3 linked regions of the Arabidopsis thaliana genome follow. The protein of the gene in region 1 interacts with the protein of each later gene in a pairwise test. Each region holds a gene or a part of one and is shown on either strand. Other genes may lie near its edges.

The links. The genes of interacting proteins can lie anywhere in the genome.
Region 2: the proteins of AT5G35870 (region 1) and WAK3 interact in a protein complementation assay, tested with the Arabidopsis thaliana proteins (one large-scale study listed by BioGRID).
Region 3: the proteins of AT5G35870 (region 1) and NHL3 interact in a protein complementation assay, tested with the Arabidopsis thaliana proteins (one large-scale study listed by BioGRID).

Annotation. Positions count from the first base shown.
Region 1 is NC_003076.8:14,018,035-14,022,511, forward strand, and holds AT5G35870 (uncharacterized protein), read left to right. Parts: upstream 1-2,744; 5' UTR 2,745-2,987; coding exon 2,988-3,578; 3' UTR 3,579-3,666; downstream 3,667-4,477.
Region 2 is NC_003070.9:7,431,943-7,437,939, forward strand, and holds WAK3 (wall associated kinase 3), read left to right. Parts: upstream 1-2,292; 5' UTR 2,293-2,360; coding exon 2,361-3,237; intron 3,238-3,338; coding exon 3,339-3,497; intron 3,498-3,570; coding exon 3,571-4,760; 3' UTR 4,761-4,888; downstream 4,889-5,997. Other genes in the region: WAK5 (wall associated kinase 5), read left to right, coding at 1-404; AT1G21245 (Protein kinase superfamily protein), read left to right, coding at 4,900-5,400. UniProt on the Arabidopsis thaliana protein: Serine/threonine-protein kinase that may function as a signaling receptor of extracellular matrix component. Binding to pectin may have significance in the control of cell expansion, morphogenesis and development.
Region 3 is NC_003076.8:1,929,684-1,934,201, reverse strand, and holds NHL3 (NDR1/HIN1-like 3), read left to right. Parts: upstream 1-2,433; 5' UTR 2,434-2,490; coding exon 2,491-3,186; 3' UTR 3,187-3,406; downstream 3,407-4,518. Other genes in the region: AtPOT1b (Nucleic acid-binding, OB-fold-like protein), read right to left, coding at 3,407-3,610, 3,686-3,838, 3,937-3,995, 4,076-4,152, 4,245-4,511. UniProt on the Arabidopsis thaliana protein: Confers resistance to Pseudomonas syringae pv. tomato DC3000 (Pst DC3000).

The sequences.
Region 1 (4,477 bases):
ACTCTAGTTTTTTTTATATGGGAATTTTAGTTTAATATATATAACTGTGTATGTTTTTAAATAATCAATAGAACGTCTTAACTCAATCGATAATATATCAATTGATTTATCTAGGAGTGTCAAAATTGATCAAAATTCATGGGTCAACTCAACCCATGAACCCTAATGAGTTAAAATTTTTGACTCAAATGAGTTGATGGGTCAAATGAGTTATTGGATCAATTGGTTTGATGAGTAAAATGAGTTGAGTTGTAATGGTTAATGGTTTCAATGGTTTACCCAATTAACCCATCAAGTTTTGTAAAATTGAATTAAACCAACTAAAATCTTTAAACCAATACCAATTTAAGTTTAACCAACACATCTAAACCAATTTAATAAAATTAATATTTTTCCAAATTTCTTAAATATACAGAGATAAAATTGAGAAGACGTAAACTCGTAATTTTTCCACCAAAAAACATAAACCCGTGATTTTCCCGCCAAAAACGTAAACCCGTGATTTTCCCGCCAAAAACGTAAACCCGTGATTTTCCTGCCAAAAACGTAAACCCGTGATTTTCCAGCCAAAAACGTAAACCCGTTATTTTTTCGCCAAAAACGTAAACCCGTGATTTTTCCGCCAAAAACGTAAACCCGTGATTTTCCAGCCAAAAACGTAAACCCGTAATTTTCCCGCCAAAAACGTAAACCCGTGATTTTCCAGCCAAAAACGTAAACCCGTAATTTTCCCGCCAAAAACGTAAACCCGTGATTTTCCCGCAAAAACGGAAAACCGTGATTTCCCCTCAGAAACGTACACCCGTAATTTTCCCGCCAAAAAAATGTAAACCCGTGATTTTCCCGCCAAAAACGTAAATCTATAACTTTCCGCCAAAAATGTAAACCCATAAAAAGTAAAATCCGTGAATATCTTAAGTTTGATGATAATGAATTAATAATTAGTAATAATAATAATTATTTATTATTGTTTTATAATAATAATTAATTAAATTATTACTTAAATAGGTTAACTCATTTAACAACTCAACCCATCAAATTAAATGAGTTATGGGTTGGGTTGGGTTGGGTTACCCATTTTAACACTCCTAGATTTATCTTAACGTAATAAATTTCAATTTTATAATGGATCATTAAAAAAAATAATCAAAATGATGTCGTTTTATAGTTTAGTAGAGATTGATAAGGAATATTTAATTTCGTTAGTTTGTTTCTTTAATTGACTTAACCACATGATCAAAATTACAAACTTAACAAAAGTTTGGTATTTAAATAAAAAGTAAAAAAAAACTTACTATATATATATATATATTTATATAAAAGAAGAATAAGTTAAGGATTTAAATCAACTAAATGGAAAAAAAAGATTTAAAAGAAAAATTTTCCGAATAAATTTGTTTAAATTGCCTAAAAATTGGTCTCGGCATTTCTCGGTGCGTGAAATTTATAAATTTGTTGTTAATAGTCCGAAAATAAGCATGTTCAGTCTTAGGGGACACACACATCCTCTCACTCTCAAATACTCTTTCTTTTTCTTTGTTTCCTTCTCGTTACACCCAAAATAATGTGCAACAACAATATACACCCTTCTATGAAAGTGTGGCGTAAGCAACAAGTGGCATTACATGTATGAAATATTTGGACTAACTCAAACATTCATTAAATTCAGCCCAAAATATTACGTCAAGTAATATTCACTCCATTGTAAATTATTTTTAGTTTTAAATTTTTGCACATAAATTAAAAAAACAATAAAAAAATTATTTTACTTTTGCTCAAACACTTTAAAACTAAATTTTTTTTCCAAAACATATACATTAAAAATTTAAAACAACTATTATAAATAAATATTAAAGCGACAACTAAATCGTAATAGAGAAAGTTCGTATATAAATTGAATTTTCACAAAAAAAAAAAAATAAAAAAAAAATAACCAATAAATATTGTTGAAAAAAAAATAACAAAATATCTATTTCAAATAGAAGTAATTAAAATTGGAGCTTCAAGCATAAAAGTGTTTTTAAAATCTACAATCGTAGATCTAGCAAGTCAACTTGGGTTATCTTTGGATTGTAGTGAATGAAAGTGTCGCCAGGTGGTAAGCAGGGAGGCTTGCACATGGCTCACCGACACTCTTAAGCCTTGGTGGGCGAGCAAGTACAACTAAAAGGTTTAGTTAAGGGTCTTGGCCTTTTGGCTTCTCCGATTCCAAAAGAATAGATTTTGTGGTTAGATTATTTATTTTATTTTATTTTGTCGTTTTTTTGTTTTTCCATTCTCATTTCTTTTCACTAGAGTAATTCTTTTCAAAATTCGAAATTTACAGAATATACGAGATTAAATGAAAGAAAAATACAATAATATGTTAAAAATCATAAATGTTACATGAACTATTTTGAAATATTTTGACTAATATAGAATATATATTAAATATTATAAAACAAATCTCAAAATATTATATAGCGTCACATAAGATACAAAAGAAATTATCTTTTCAAAATTGTTTTGGGTATTTCAACTCTACTATATAATCTAAACAAATCTAGACTAATCTCGGTATCCAGAATTTTATTTTTATATAGGTATTTCCAAATTTTGCATATGGGGACCAGTTGGGGAGCTGTTACTCCTCAAATCTAGATGCAGAAAACAAAGAAAAAATATAATAGTTTATGCTAAATCTTCTTCCTAATCACCTATTTATAAGCCCTTTTCCGTTTTGATTATTTGAAGTACATTTACGTATTAAACTTTTTTGGAGTTCTTCTCCCTCTTTCTAATTCCCATTTTTGTTTTTCCTAGAGTCGAATCTAATTGTCTTGCTCAACATTTAAGTAAACGATCGTAAGCTATAACTCTTTTGTCTCCTTTTCCAGTTTTTGTTTTTTTTACATCAACCCATTTTTTCTAGGGTTTTTGTTGTTGAAAAGTTTTTCGATCACACATCATCTCTTCTCATTTTTTGTTTTTGGATCTGAGGATATAAAATGGTTGAAATCTTATTTCTTCTATCTTTTTTGGTGGAACTACAAAGTAATTGCTTTCATATGAATCTTGAGAGCATAAAAATGAACGAAGGGGTCATGAGTTTTATTTTATTGCGTTTTAAGAGACCAGTGTCATGGTTGTCTTTTCTTGCCCCACCACTTCTTCACATCATAGGACTTGGGTTCTCGCAAATCATCCTAACCTCAGCTGCATTGTTCTTCTCATCTTTCTTCTTCCCTCTCTCAATCCAAAAACCAAACTCCAAGGTTCAAGATCTTAGTCAACAAGACTACTTAGGAGAGACTGAACTATCATCTACGACCACTAATGATATTGTCAAAAATAATGACGAAGATGACGGGACAATCCCTGATGAGGAAAGTCTCATAGAGCTCTCCTTACCAAGCGGCCATTACATTGGCCACCACTATAGTACTATGATTGGTAAACAAGATCAAAAGATCATGTACAACAACATCCCAGATTTCAGGCTTATCCAATTATCAGCCGAGTATGAAGACGATAATCTCATCGAAATCGACATTTCCATCGGATCGATCAAGTGTTCAAGGTTCCAGATCAAAGCCTGATACATCTTTCTATTTCTTACATCACTATGAAGCGTTTAAAATTAATATCGAATGTAAAGTAATATTTGAGGTTATTTTTGCACGTGGTAAGTGCTCTATGTTGTTTGTTTTTTGTTTTAGATCTCTCCATTCATGGGGTTTTTCTATTGTTATATATTATTAGCTACATTACTCTTCCAAGTTTTAATTAGAATTCCTTTATCTTGCTTACACACTCTAATTTTGAACATTTTACGTAGTTAATTTTGACATAAGTCACGTGGACTAGTATTTCTTTCTTTTTGCATGAGATTTGAAATTATTTGGGACCATGTACTATGAGTCTGTGACTGTTTAAACCAGACTATGAAGTGAAGTCTAAGACGTTTATATATATGTTTGGCCTGACCGTGACTATAGGTTAACAAAAAAGGCATTTGCCTCAAATCCCAGAAATATATTAACATTTTAGGGTCTCTAAATTCAGAAATTATGATGTATCGTGACCTCCAAAATTCGCTAATAACCCATGTTCGACATTTTTAAAAAAAATTAGGCAGTTAAAAAGAGAAACTGAGAAGAATTGACAAACAAAAATGGAAATCAAAATACGAAAAAGGAAAACGAGATGAAATCTCAAACCATACAAAATAAAAAAAATTCTAAATAGAAAAGAATTAAAGAGTTTTGTGAGTTTAAAAAAATACATTGTTTGGATTTTACAAAGGATGAATATTAAAATACAATAGATGTGCTCTTCATCGGTTTTAAATATCTTGGATCTTTTTTGCCGATTGTTGCACCGTATGTATTTTTCATTCCACTAGCGGTGTAACCATTTTTTACCATTAATGTTTTAGTTTTTTGAATATTTTATATTGTTTAAATTAGAGATGTTAATGATGGGTTAAAACTCACTG
Region 2 (5,997 bases), on another chromosome or scaffold:
TGGAACTGCTCTCAGGTGAAAAGGCATTATGCTTTGAACGGCCACAAAGCTCAAAACATCTAGTGAGTTACTTTGTTTCTGCCATGAAAGAAAATAGGTTGCATGAGATTATTGACGGTCAAGTTATGAACGAGTATAATCAGAGGGAGATCCAGGAATCTGCAAGAATTGCTGTTGAGTGTACAAGAATTATGGGAGAGGAAAGGCCAAGTATGAAAGAAGTAGCTGCAGAGTTAGAGGCCTTGAGAGTCAAAACAACCAAACATCAGTGGTCAGATCAATATCCCAAGGAGGTTGAGCATTTGCTTGGTGTTCAAATCTTATCGACGCAAGGTGATACCAGTAGCATTGGCTATGACAGCATCCAGAATGTAACAAGGTTGGACATTGAAACTGGCCGCTGATATTTATCAATCTTTTGTTTGTGAAAAAGTAAAGCCACTTATTTATTGCTTATGTCCTATATGTTTCCTAACACTTCAAAAAAAACAGAGTATCAAAACATGATATTCAAGAACATTTATGCTCGAGAGATCCGTTGTAGATCATCAATTATTCATTTTATAACTCCATTCGATTGGTAAGCTAACCAGTAGACGATTCGGTATGAGAAAAATTAAGAATTCATGAATCTACTAGCAGAGATATTGATATACTGTTGTGGTTGCAAAACAATAACTCGAATTTAAAGGGCTCAGTTGCTTAAAACATCCTATTTGATCCACAGCTTGACTCATATATTGTTTTGGTACTGGCATCTATAATTTAATACTGCGTTTTCTAAATTAACAAAATCATTCTTGCTGCATAAGATTGCTCTGGTTTTGAAGCCATCAAGTTTTCTTATTTTGTTAAAAATTTATGATCTTTAACCATAAGTAATATATATAGTGAAAACATGAGAAAATTTGGTGGATTCTAGAAAAGCACTCTCCGTCAACGTGATCGATATTATGATGAAATGATTACAAAGATGCAATTATATATATCCACGAGCAACAAGACGAAGACAAAAATGTAAACAAGTTAACATATGATTTTGGAATTAGATCAGTAATAAACAAACATATGCACAACTACATGAGAAGTAAAAACTAGTAAACGAGAAATCTCTAACTTAAGATGCGTGGTATGTACGTAACTCCAAAAGAACAACTTGACATTTTTTTTTTTTTTTTTTTTTTGAATGTAATGTTAAATTATATTCAAGAAAAATAACGTTTTTGATACAAGGCTTTGAAAGTATGAAAGAACAACTTGACTATTTGATAAACAACTTGACTCATATATTGCTCTGTTATTAAAATTTTAATACTGCGTTTTCTAAATTAAATTATCATTCTTGCTGCATAAGATTGTTGTGGTTTTGTAACCATCAAATTTTCCTTTTTTGTTAAAACTCTGATCTTTAGTAAATTGAGAAAGCTACCTCTACTATACCCTTAAAATCTCTAAGTCTGGTCTGTCAAAGATTATTTTAATCATCAAACAGTGTATTTTCAGTTTTTTCTCAAGATTTTCCCTCAGTTTCTTTGAATGAATCTGGTTTCTTTCGGTGAAAGAGTGCTGGTCGTAATTGAGTTTGGTTTGTAATATATTACTTAAGTGTCGTGTCTGTTAAGTTAAAGTAGTTATGTTTGTTGTGTCACAAGAAAGAAGAGTCATAACTCTTGACTTTTCATGTCTGTTGGTTTGTATTTAAGTTAATTGTTGTAAACCTTGTAAAACAGTTGTTGTATTTCACTTTCTCTATAATAGAAAGACAAGTTCTTCTCTTTATTGTTATGTTGACGATCAAACCAATTGTGATACAAAGTCTGATTCTCTTTCTCTGTTCTTAACTCTGTTCTGTTTCTAGAAGGAGATTCAGTTTCTAACAAAGTGGTGGATTTGCATGGAAATTTCTCATAGATAACCTCTTGAAGAGTAAGCAGCGACATGACACATGAGGCAAGAACTATTCAAATTCTTCGAAAACTTGTTGACATTTATAAACTCAACACACACACACACACAAAAAAACTACATATTTCTACTATTACGACAGCAGAAGAAAACAGAGCATGTTGTGATCATGATGAGTCTTATTCCTACATTGTCACTATAACGAGACTTTCATATATGAACAATAAATTGGAGTTTCCTGGAAAAATCAAGACAAGAAAGAAAGGACAGATAAAGAAGTTGACGCATTTATATTTTTCTAACGTCTAGTAGTCTGAATCTTTACTTTTCTTCACATTTGATTATTCAACAATGTCAAATCAGGGGTTACTTTTCAAGCTATAAGAAGCGAATAAGCGATGAGAGAAAACTCAAAGAGAAACAAGTTTAGAGAGAAAGAAAGAGAAAGGTAGAAGATGAAGTTCCAGGAGGGTGTGTTCTTGGTGGTTATTTTCTTCCTTGCATATACTCAGCTTGTGAAGGGGCAACATCAACCTCGCGAAGATTGTAAACTTAAATGTGGAAACGTCACAATAGAGTACCCTTTTGGTATTTCTACAGGTTGTTACTATCCCGGAGATGATAATTTCAATCTCACCTGTGTCGTGGAAGAGAAGCTACTACTCTTTGGCATCATTCAAGTGACCAATATTTCTCACAGTGGCCATGTAAGTGTACTGTTTGAACGATTCTCTGAATGCTACGAGCAGAAAAATGAGACTAATGGAACTGCCCTCGGGTATCAGCTGGGTAGTAGTTTCTCTCTCTCCTCCAACAACAAGTTTACTTTAGTAGGATGTAACGCTTTATCACTTTTGAGCACTTTTGGAAAGCAAAACTACTCAACTGGATGCTTGTCATTATGCAATTCTCAACCAGAGGCAAATGGAAGATGTAATGGTGTAGGTTGCTGCACAACAGAGGACTTCTCTGTCCCGTTCGATAGCGATACATTCCAATTTGGCTCAGTTCGCTTGAGAAACCAAGTTAATAATTCCTTAGATCTATTTAATACTTCGGTATATCAGTTTAATCCTTGCACCTACGCTTTTCTCGTTGAAGATGGTAAGTTTAACTTCGATTCTTCAAAAGATCTTAAGAATCTGAGGAATGTCACGAGGTTCCCTGTGGCACTAGATTGGTCTATTGGAAACCAGACATGTGAGCAAGCTGGAAGCACAAGAATATGCGGTAAGAACAGCTCATGTTACAATTCTACTACTAGAAACGGGTATATCTGCAAATGTAATGAAGGTTATGATGGGAATCCATACCGTTCAGAGGGTTGCAAAGGTACTTCATATTAATTTCTTTGCTTTCTTTCTTCTTTTGAGTGTTTATAATCTTCCTCATACGTTTTTGGTTGCATCTTGTGCACTTATTCCTTTGGTCAGACATCGATGAGTGTATTAGTGATACACATAACTGTTCGGATCCAAAAACCTGTAGAAACAGGGATGGAGGCTTCGATTGTAAGTGTCCATCTGGTTACGACTTAAACTCCAGTATGAGCTGCACGAGGCCCGAATACAAACGGACTCGAATTTTTCTTGGTAAACACTCTTCACTGGTTCTAGATTCTCTTTAAATCAACTCGCTCTAATCATCTATGCATGATGTTATCAGTAATCATAATCGGCGTCTTGGTCCTCCTGCTTGCTGCGATCTGTATACAACATGCAACGAAGCAAAGGAAGTATACCAAGCTCCGACGACAATTCTTTGAGCAAAATGGTGGTGGCATGTTGATACAGCGACTTTCAGGAGCAGGGTTGTCAAACATTGATTTCAAAATCTTTACTGAGGAAGGCATGAAAGAGGCAACTAATGGCTATGATGAGAGCAGAATCTTGGGCCAGGGAGGTCAAGGAACAGTCTACAAAGGGATATTGCCGGACAACACTATCGTTGCTATAAAGAAAGCTCGGCTTGCAGACAGTAGACAAGTAGATCAGTTCATCCACGAAGTGCTCGTGCTTTCACAAATTAACCACAGGAACGTGGTCAAGATCTTGGGTTGCTGTCTAGAGACTGAAGTCCCCTTGTTGGTCTATGAATTCATTACCAATGGCACCCTTTTCGATCACTTGCACGGTTCCATTTTTGATTCTTCTCTTACATGGGAACACCGCCTCAGAATAGCGATAGAAGTCGCTGGAACTCTTGCTTATCTTCACTCCTCTGCTTCTATTCCAATCATCCATCGCGATATCAAAACTGCAAATATTCTCTTGGATGAAAACTTAACTGCAAAAGTAGCCGACTTTGGCGCTTCTAAGCTTATACCAATGGATAAAGAGCAGCTCACAACTATGGTGCAAGGCACTCTAGGCTATTTAGACCCAGAATACTATACCACAGGGCTTCTGAACGAGAAGAGCGATGTGTATAGCTTTGGGGTAGTCCTCATGGAACTGCTCTCAGGTCAAAAGGCATTGTGCTTTGAACGGCCACAGGCTTCAAAACATTTGGTGAGTTACTTTGTTTCTGCCACGGAAGAGAATAGGTTGCATGAGATTATTGACGACCAAGTGTTGAACGAGGATAATCTGAAGGAGATCCAGGAAGCTGCAAGAATTGCTGCAGAGTGTACAAGGCTAATGGGAGAGGAAAGGCCAAGGATGAAAGAAGTAGCTGCAAAGCTAGAAGCCTTGAGGGTCGAGAAAACCAAACATAAGTGGTCGGATCAGTATCCTGAGGAGAATGAACACTTGATTGGTGGTCACATCTTGTCTGCACAAGGCGAAACCAGTAGCAGCATTGGCTATGATAGCATCAAAAATGTAGCAATATTGGACATTGAAACTGGCCGCTGATATTGCTCACAAAATCACATGTATCTCTTTTGTTTGTAAAAAAAGAAAACCACTTATTTGTTGCTTCATCAATATGCTTTGAGAGCTTGTTTGTTCATCATCAATAATCATGTTCATATTTTCCTTTACTTGGTATACTATGGTGCAAGGCACTCTAGGCTATTTAGACCCAGAATACTATACCACAGGGCTTCTGAACGAGAAGAGCGATGTGTATAGCTTTGGGGTAGTCCTCATGGAACTGCTCTCAGGTCAAAAGGCATTGTGCTTTGAACGGCCACAGGCTTCAAAACATTTGGTGAGTTACTTTGTTTCTGCCACGGAAGAGAATAGGTTGCATGAGATTATTGACGACCAAGTGTTGAACGAGGATAATCTGAAGGAGATCCAGGAAGCTGCAAGAATTGCTGCAGAGTGTACAAGGCTAATGGGAAAAGAAAGGCCAAGGATGAAAGAAGTAGCTGTAGAGCTAGAAACTTTGAGCGTCAAAACAACCAAACATAATTGGTCGGATCAGTATCGAGAGGAGAATTTACACTTGCTTGGTAGCAACATCGTGTCTTCCCAAGGCGATACCAATAGCCGTGGTTATGACAGCGTCAAGAATGTAGCATTGCTTGACATTGAAGCTGGCCGCTGATAAATTTTGTTTGTTAAAAAGTATATTGTTTAATTCTTTATTGTTTATCTCCTTTTGTCTTTATAAACATAACCAGAATATCAAAACATGACATTCAAAAACATTGATATCCTTGTAGATCATCCATATATACTCATGTTCACAATTCTCCTATATTTTTATATGCTAACCAGTAGCTGATTAGGTATTAGAAAAACTACCTAGAGTTCATAAATATGATTCCATACGACATTAATATATCATTGTGCTTAATTATAAAGAAAAACAAAACAACTCGAGAAGAAAAAACACTAGAATTTAAAGTAGGCGTCAAAAACAGAGGAGAGTAAGTATACTATGAATATGATCATCGAAATCTTCAGCACCTGGTCGAGTTCATCGTAGATACCGCTTCCTCAAACCAAACCATATGATTCTTTGTTAGTTGCTTGGTAAACTAAAAAAATAAAAGACTCATTTGGTGCAAACTTCATATTTGATCTACAGCTTGAGTCATCATGTTTCGTTACTCATCTACAACCCATCATTCTTGTTGCATAAGATTGCTTGATATTGTATATCACATCAAATCTCTTAATTTGTTTCTTGTTAAAATAT
Region 3 (4,518 bases), about 12 Mb from region 1:
TTGCCTCTTTTGTTAAGAGATTTGTAGGCGTAATTCTCAATCTGGAATCCACTTTCTCCAAGAGAGAAAACTTGCGAAATGATTCATTACATGTGCTATTGTTATTATATTCGATATGTATATGTATTTCAGAAAGAAGTCCAATGTGAGAACATTCAAAATGTACATAAGAGCGAGGTCCAATTTGAGCATAACGTACGCAATTTGTTCGTTAGATTCGTCACCAACAAATATTTGATGTGTTTGTGAACGATTTTTTATGCAATTTTTTAATCTTAGTCCCATTTATCTACTAACTCCCACGTGTTTTGTTTCCTTTGTACATATACACGCTGCCGAATCCAGTTTGTATATAAACATAATTTTAATTGAAAATCTTCGAAACATTGTACTGAAAATTTGCCATACGTAATCTAGGTAATTGATCAGCATGATGAGAAACTTTACGCCCATCAATCCATGAATATACAATCCTAGTTTGGAACCGAAGTTATACTGTAAAAAAGCAGATGATAAAAACACACAATTGTCTACATAACCTTCCCTTTTTGCCTTTTTGAAGTCATACATTTTATTAAGCGTGTAAATGATCAAGACTTGAATATATACATAAAGATTCGATTTTGTTCATCTAGAGAAATTCATAACCAAAACATAGAATAAACATTCATAACCAAAGGATAACGTAAGTAAAATGAATCATGGAGTTGTATCATTGGTCCACTGGTTAACACGATACAGTTTCGACTTTCGAGTCGTATTGTATTCCAGATTTTAACAATGATTAACAACACAAAATTATGGTGACAACCACCAAATTAGAATTAGTAATAGATTACATGAAAAGTATACCCTATATGTTACTTCCTTAGATATATGTCCATTTAAACTTTAGTGGACATCTATTCAACGCAATTTCTCAATAATTTATTCGGATGAATATCGGAATTGAGTAGATAGGGATCGGTCGTCGGTTCCTCCATTTTCAAAACCCTAAGAACAACCAAAGTCTTCATCATTTATTTGTCCAATTCCAATGATCTATTTCGTCCAAACGGCTAAGATTGAAGGAGTCTTCGTGAAATATTTGTTGTCTAATTTAGTTTAATGTTTTATCACCACACACATTGACACCGCATTAAACTCTAACAAGTTTTTCAAACACGTTTGTTCATCACCAGGTTTTTCTTTAAAATTATTGTGTATTACTTATCATATACAATGAAAATTATTGTTATACCGTATAACACATAAAAATTTCTTAAACTACATTGACTACTTTAATAAATAAATAAAACACATTACATCTCATATTATAAGAATACTTTTTTTAGTTGTTACATTTGTTTTTATAAATCCTCCATAGTTGTTTTAAAGTTTAATATGATTGAGTTGCGATCTAGTATTATTATTCTTTATTAAATATGCTTGACCTTTCTCATTGAAGAAAGATGTAAACATTTGAAAGCATGGCTTCACCTAATCTTCCTTTCAATTACAGGTCACATCATCCAACTCTAAACACCAACCTCCCTTAGTTTTCCTTGCTTTTAGCATTATAACATTAACAAGTCTTTGCAATGTTTAATTTTCTTTGAATTTGAGAAATCTTTCACATTAAACATTTTCATTAATTGATAATTAATTAAATAACCTTTATCAGTAGAACTGTTCTCATAGTTATAAAATAAACATTTGGAAAACCCCACCTCAGTTTCAACTTGCAACCTATAGATCAAAGTTATTTCATTTCATCATGTTATATATATAATGTCGAAATTCTTGACCGGGACTGGTTTGTCTTTTTCTAACTTTGTATAGGCTTATTGATATTTTGGCCACATTTTCTATTTTTGTTCTCAAAAGTCTTTCGTCAAGTTTAAGAAACAATGGCTATATTAGAGCAGTCGCTTTTGGGGAAGTTTCTCGGAAGCTTAGTTACATTGTAAAAATGACTATTCACAATTCACAAACTAACTACCGCACTAAGTATCATCACATTCTCACATGTCTTATATAATAAAAGAATATATAAATAAATATCTACATATGGATATTCTTGTATGCGATCGGCACTAACCTCATTAATCACCAAATCATGTATATATGGATTCAAGAAATAATCTCATTAAGCTTAACCAAAGTATACATAGTCAAATTGAAGAAGAAACCATATAGTAAAATTTAAGAAACAATCTTTAATGTATATCAAACTGTTAATCCTAAATATCTAATAACAATCTCGCAAGTAACCTCTACTTAAATCAAATTTTCATCGAACAATATTAAACCGACGCGTCACCTTTGACTTTGAAAAAACAAAACCGCGTCAAATTAAATCGTTTTATCTAATACACGTTATCTCTACAGTGTATATATATTACGGCCTCTTCTTCTTCACTTCAAATCATATTTACTTTTTCAAAATCTTATCACAAACCAAAAAAAACTTTCTTTCAAAATCGTTCTCTGAGGCATTTTAACGAACAGATGGCGGACTTAAACGGTGCGTATTACGGACCATCGATTCCACCGCCGAAGAAAGTCTCTCACAGCCACGGCAGACGCGGCGGTGGATGCGGTTGTTTAGGTGACTGTCTTGGCTGCTGCGGCTGCTGTATCTTAAGCGTCATCTTCAACATCCTCATAACCATAGCCGTCTTATTAGGCATAGCTGCTCTAATCATCTGGCTCATTTTCAGACCCAACGCTATCAAATTCCACGTCACCGACGCTAAACTCACCGAATTCACACTCGACCCAACCAACAACCTCCGATACAATCTCGATCTCAATTTCACAATCCGTAACCCTAACCGCCGGATCGGTGTTTACTATGATGAAATCGAAGTCAGAGGATACTACGGTGATCAGCGATTCGGTATGAGTAACAACATCTCGAAGTTTTACCAGGGACATAAGAACACGACGGTGGTTGGAACTAAACTCGTGGGACAGCAATTGGTGCTGCTTGACGGCGGAGAGAGGAAGGATTTGAACGAGGATGTGAATTCTCAGATCTATAGGATCGATGCCAAGCTGAGACTTAAGATTAGGTTTAAGTTTGGGTTGATCAAGTCGTGGAGGTTCAAGCCCAAGATCAAGTGCGATCTCAAGGTTCCTCTTACCTCTAATTCAACCAGCGGGTTTGTTTTTCAGCCGACCAAGTGTGACGTTGACTTTTGATTGCTAGTCAAGAGTCAATGCTATTATAGTCTTCTTCGAGTTCATCATATTACACTTGTTTATTGATTCTTATTTTAGATTGTTTTGCTTTATTATCTTCCATACATATCGTTGGAGAGAGATATTTTTCTTATGTAATGTTTTATTGTATGGTTCCATGTAAATAAATAATCACATTTTGTTTAATGCTAATAACTATACAATTAGCATTATGATTGTCTCATGAAGCATTGATCCAAGTATCAAAAATGCGGAATCTTCTGCTTTCCCACTGATCCATTTTGTGTTTGTAGAATGAGAACAAGCAACATTGTACCCATGGAGGATTTCTTGGCACTTTCTCCATCTCTTCACCTCCCAACAATCTATTCAGCTTCTTGACTAGAGCCTCTTCATCAGATTCGTCACACCCGAAAAACTTTTCCTGTAAAAAGATATACAGATATAAGTATTAGACAATCCTTCAATGAACACTAATAATTAATCGTGTTTTACTTACCCCTTCATCAGCATATAGAGAAGCATGGATTCTGGCGGTTGCATCTTCTAGTATAGCTACCAATTTGATATTTCCGTTGATATCACGGAGTTTTCTGACGTCTCGGGGATACACTTGTATGAACCGAACAACACACCTGAATTTAGCAGTCACCTGCATAATAAGCATCAGTAAAACATCAATTCAAGAAAGTTTTCACTATACTCTTTTCCTACAACTTATGATAAATCCAAGGTTTTTGGATACATTACATTGTGATAGGTCAGGATGTCCATCAGAGAAACAAATGGAGCATCGTCATGGGCAACCCCTAGAAAAGATTAAACCATAAGTATTATATTAAACGTTATGTCAAATTTCCACAATTCCAAACAATTAGCTGGTTATTACCTGTGATTTCAGAATGTGAACGACTAATGCAACGCGCGATTGGGTTCCATCTCGGTGAAAACTTCTCCCCACACATTCTGAAATGGTAAGAAAGTGTGTTTTAAACTGAAGAACAAACGGACGAAGCAGAACATCAACTCACAGGATAAGAAAAGGTGTCAGCAGAAACCTTTGAGGACTAAAGGCTTCCATCTCTCTGCTCATTGTGTACTGCATCTTTGTAGAGGGAGTAAAAGTGGCGTTCCATAATCCCATATTTACTTGAAAGAAAAGGTTCAGAAGCTTCACGTGTTGACCAGGTTGAAGACAGTGAATGGCCTGCTTCTCACTAACTCTATCTACTATGATCCTCAAAACGGAACCAAAAGTAGGAAACTTACGTAACATGTATGTAGGCAACATCTCGGGTTCTACACATAAAGGAAGCCTTTCTGACCTATTAT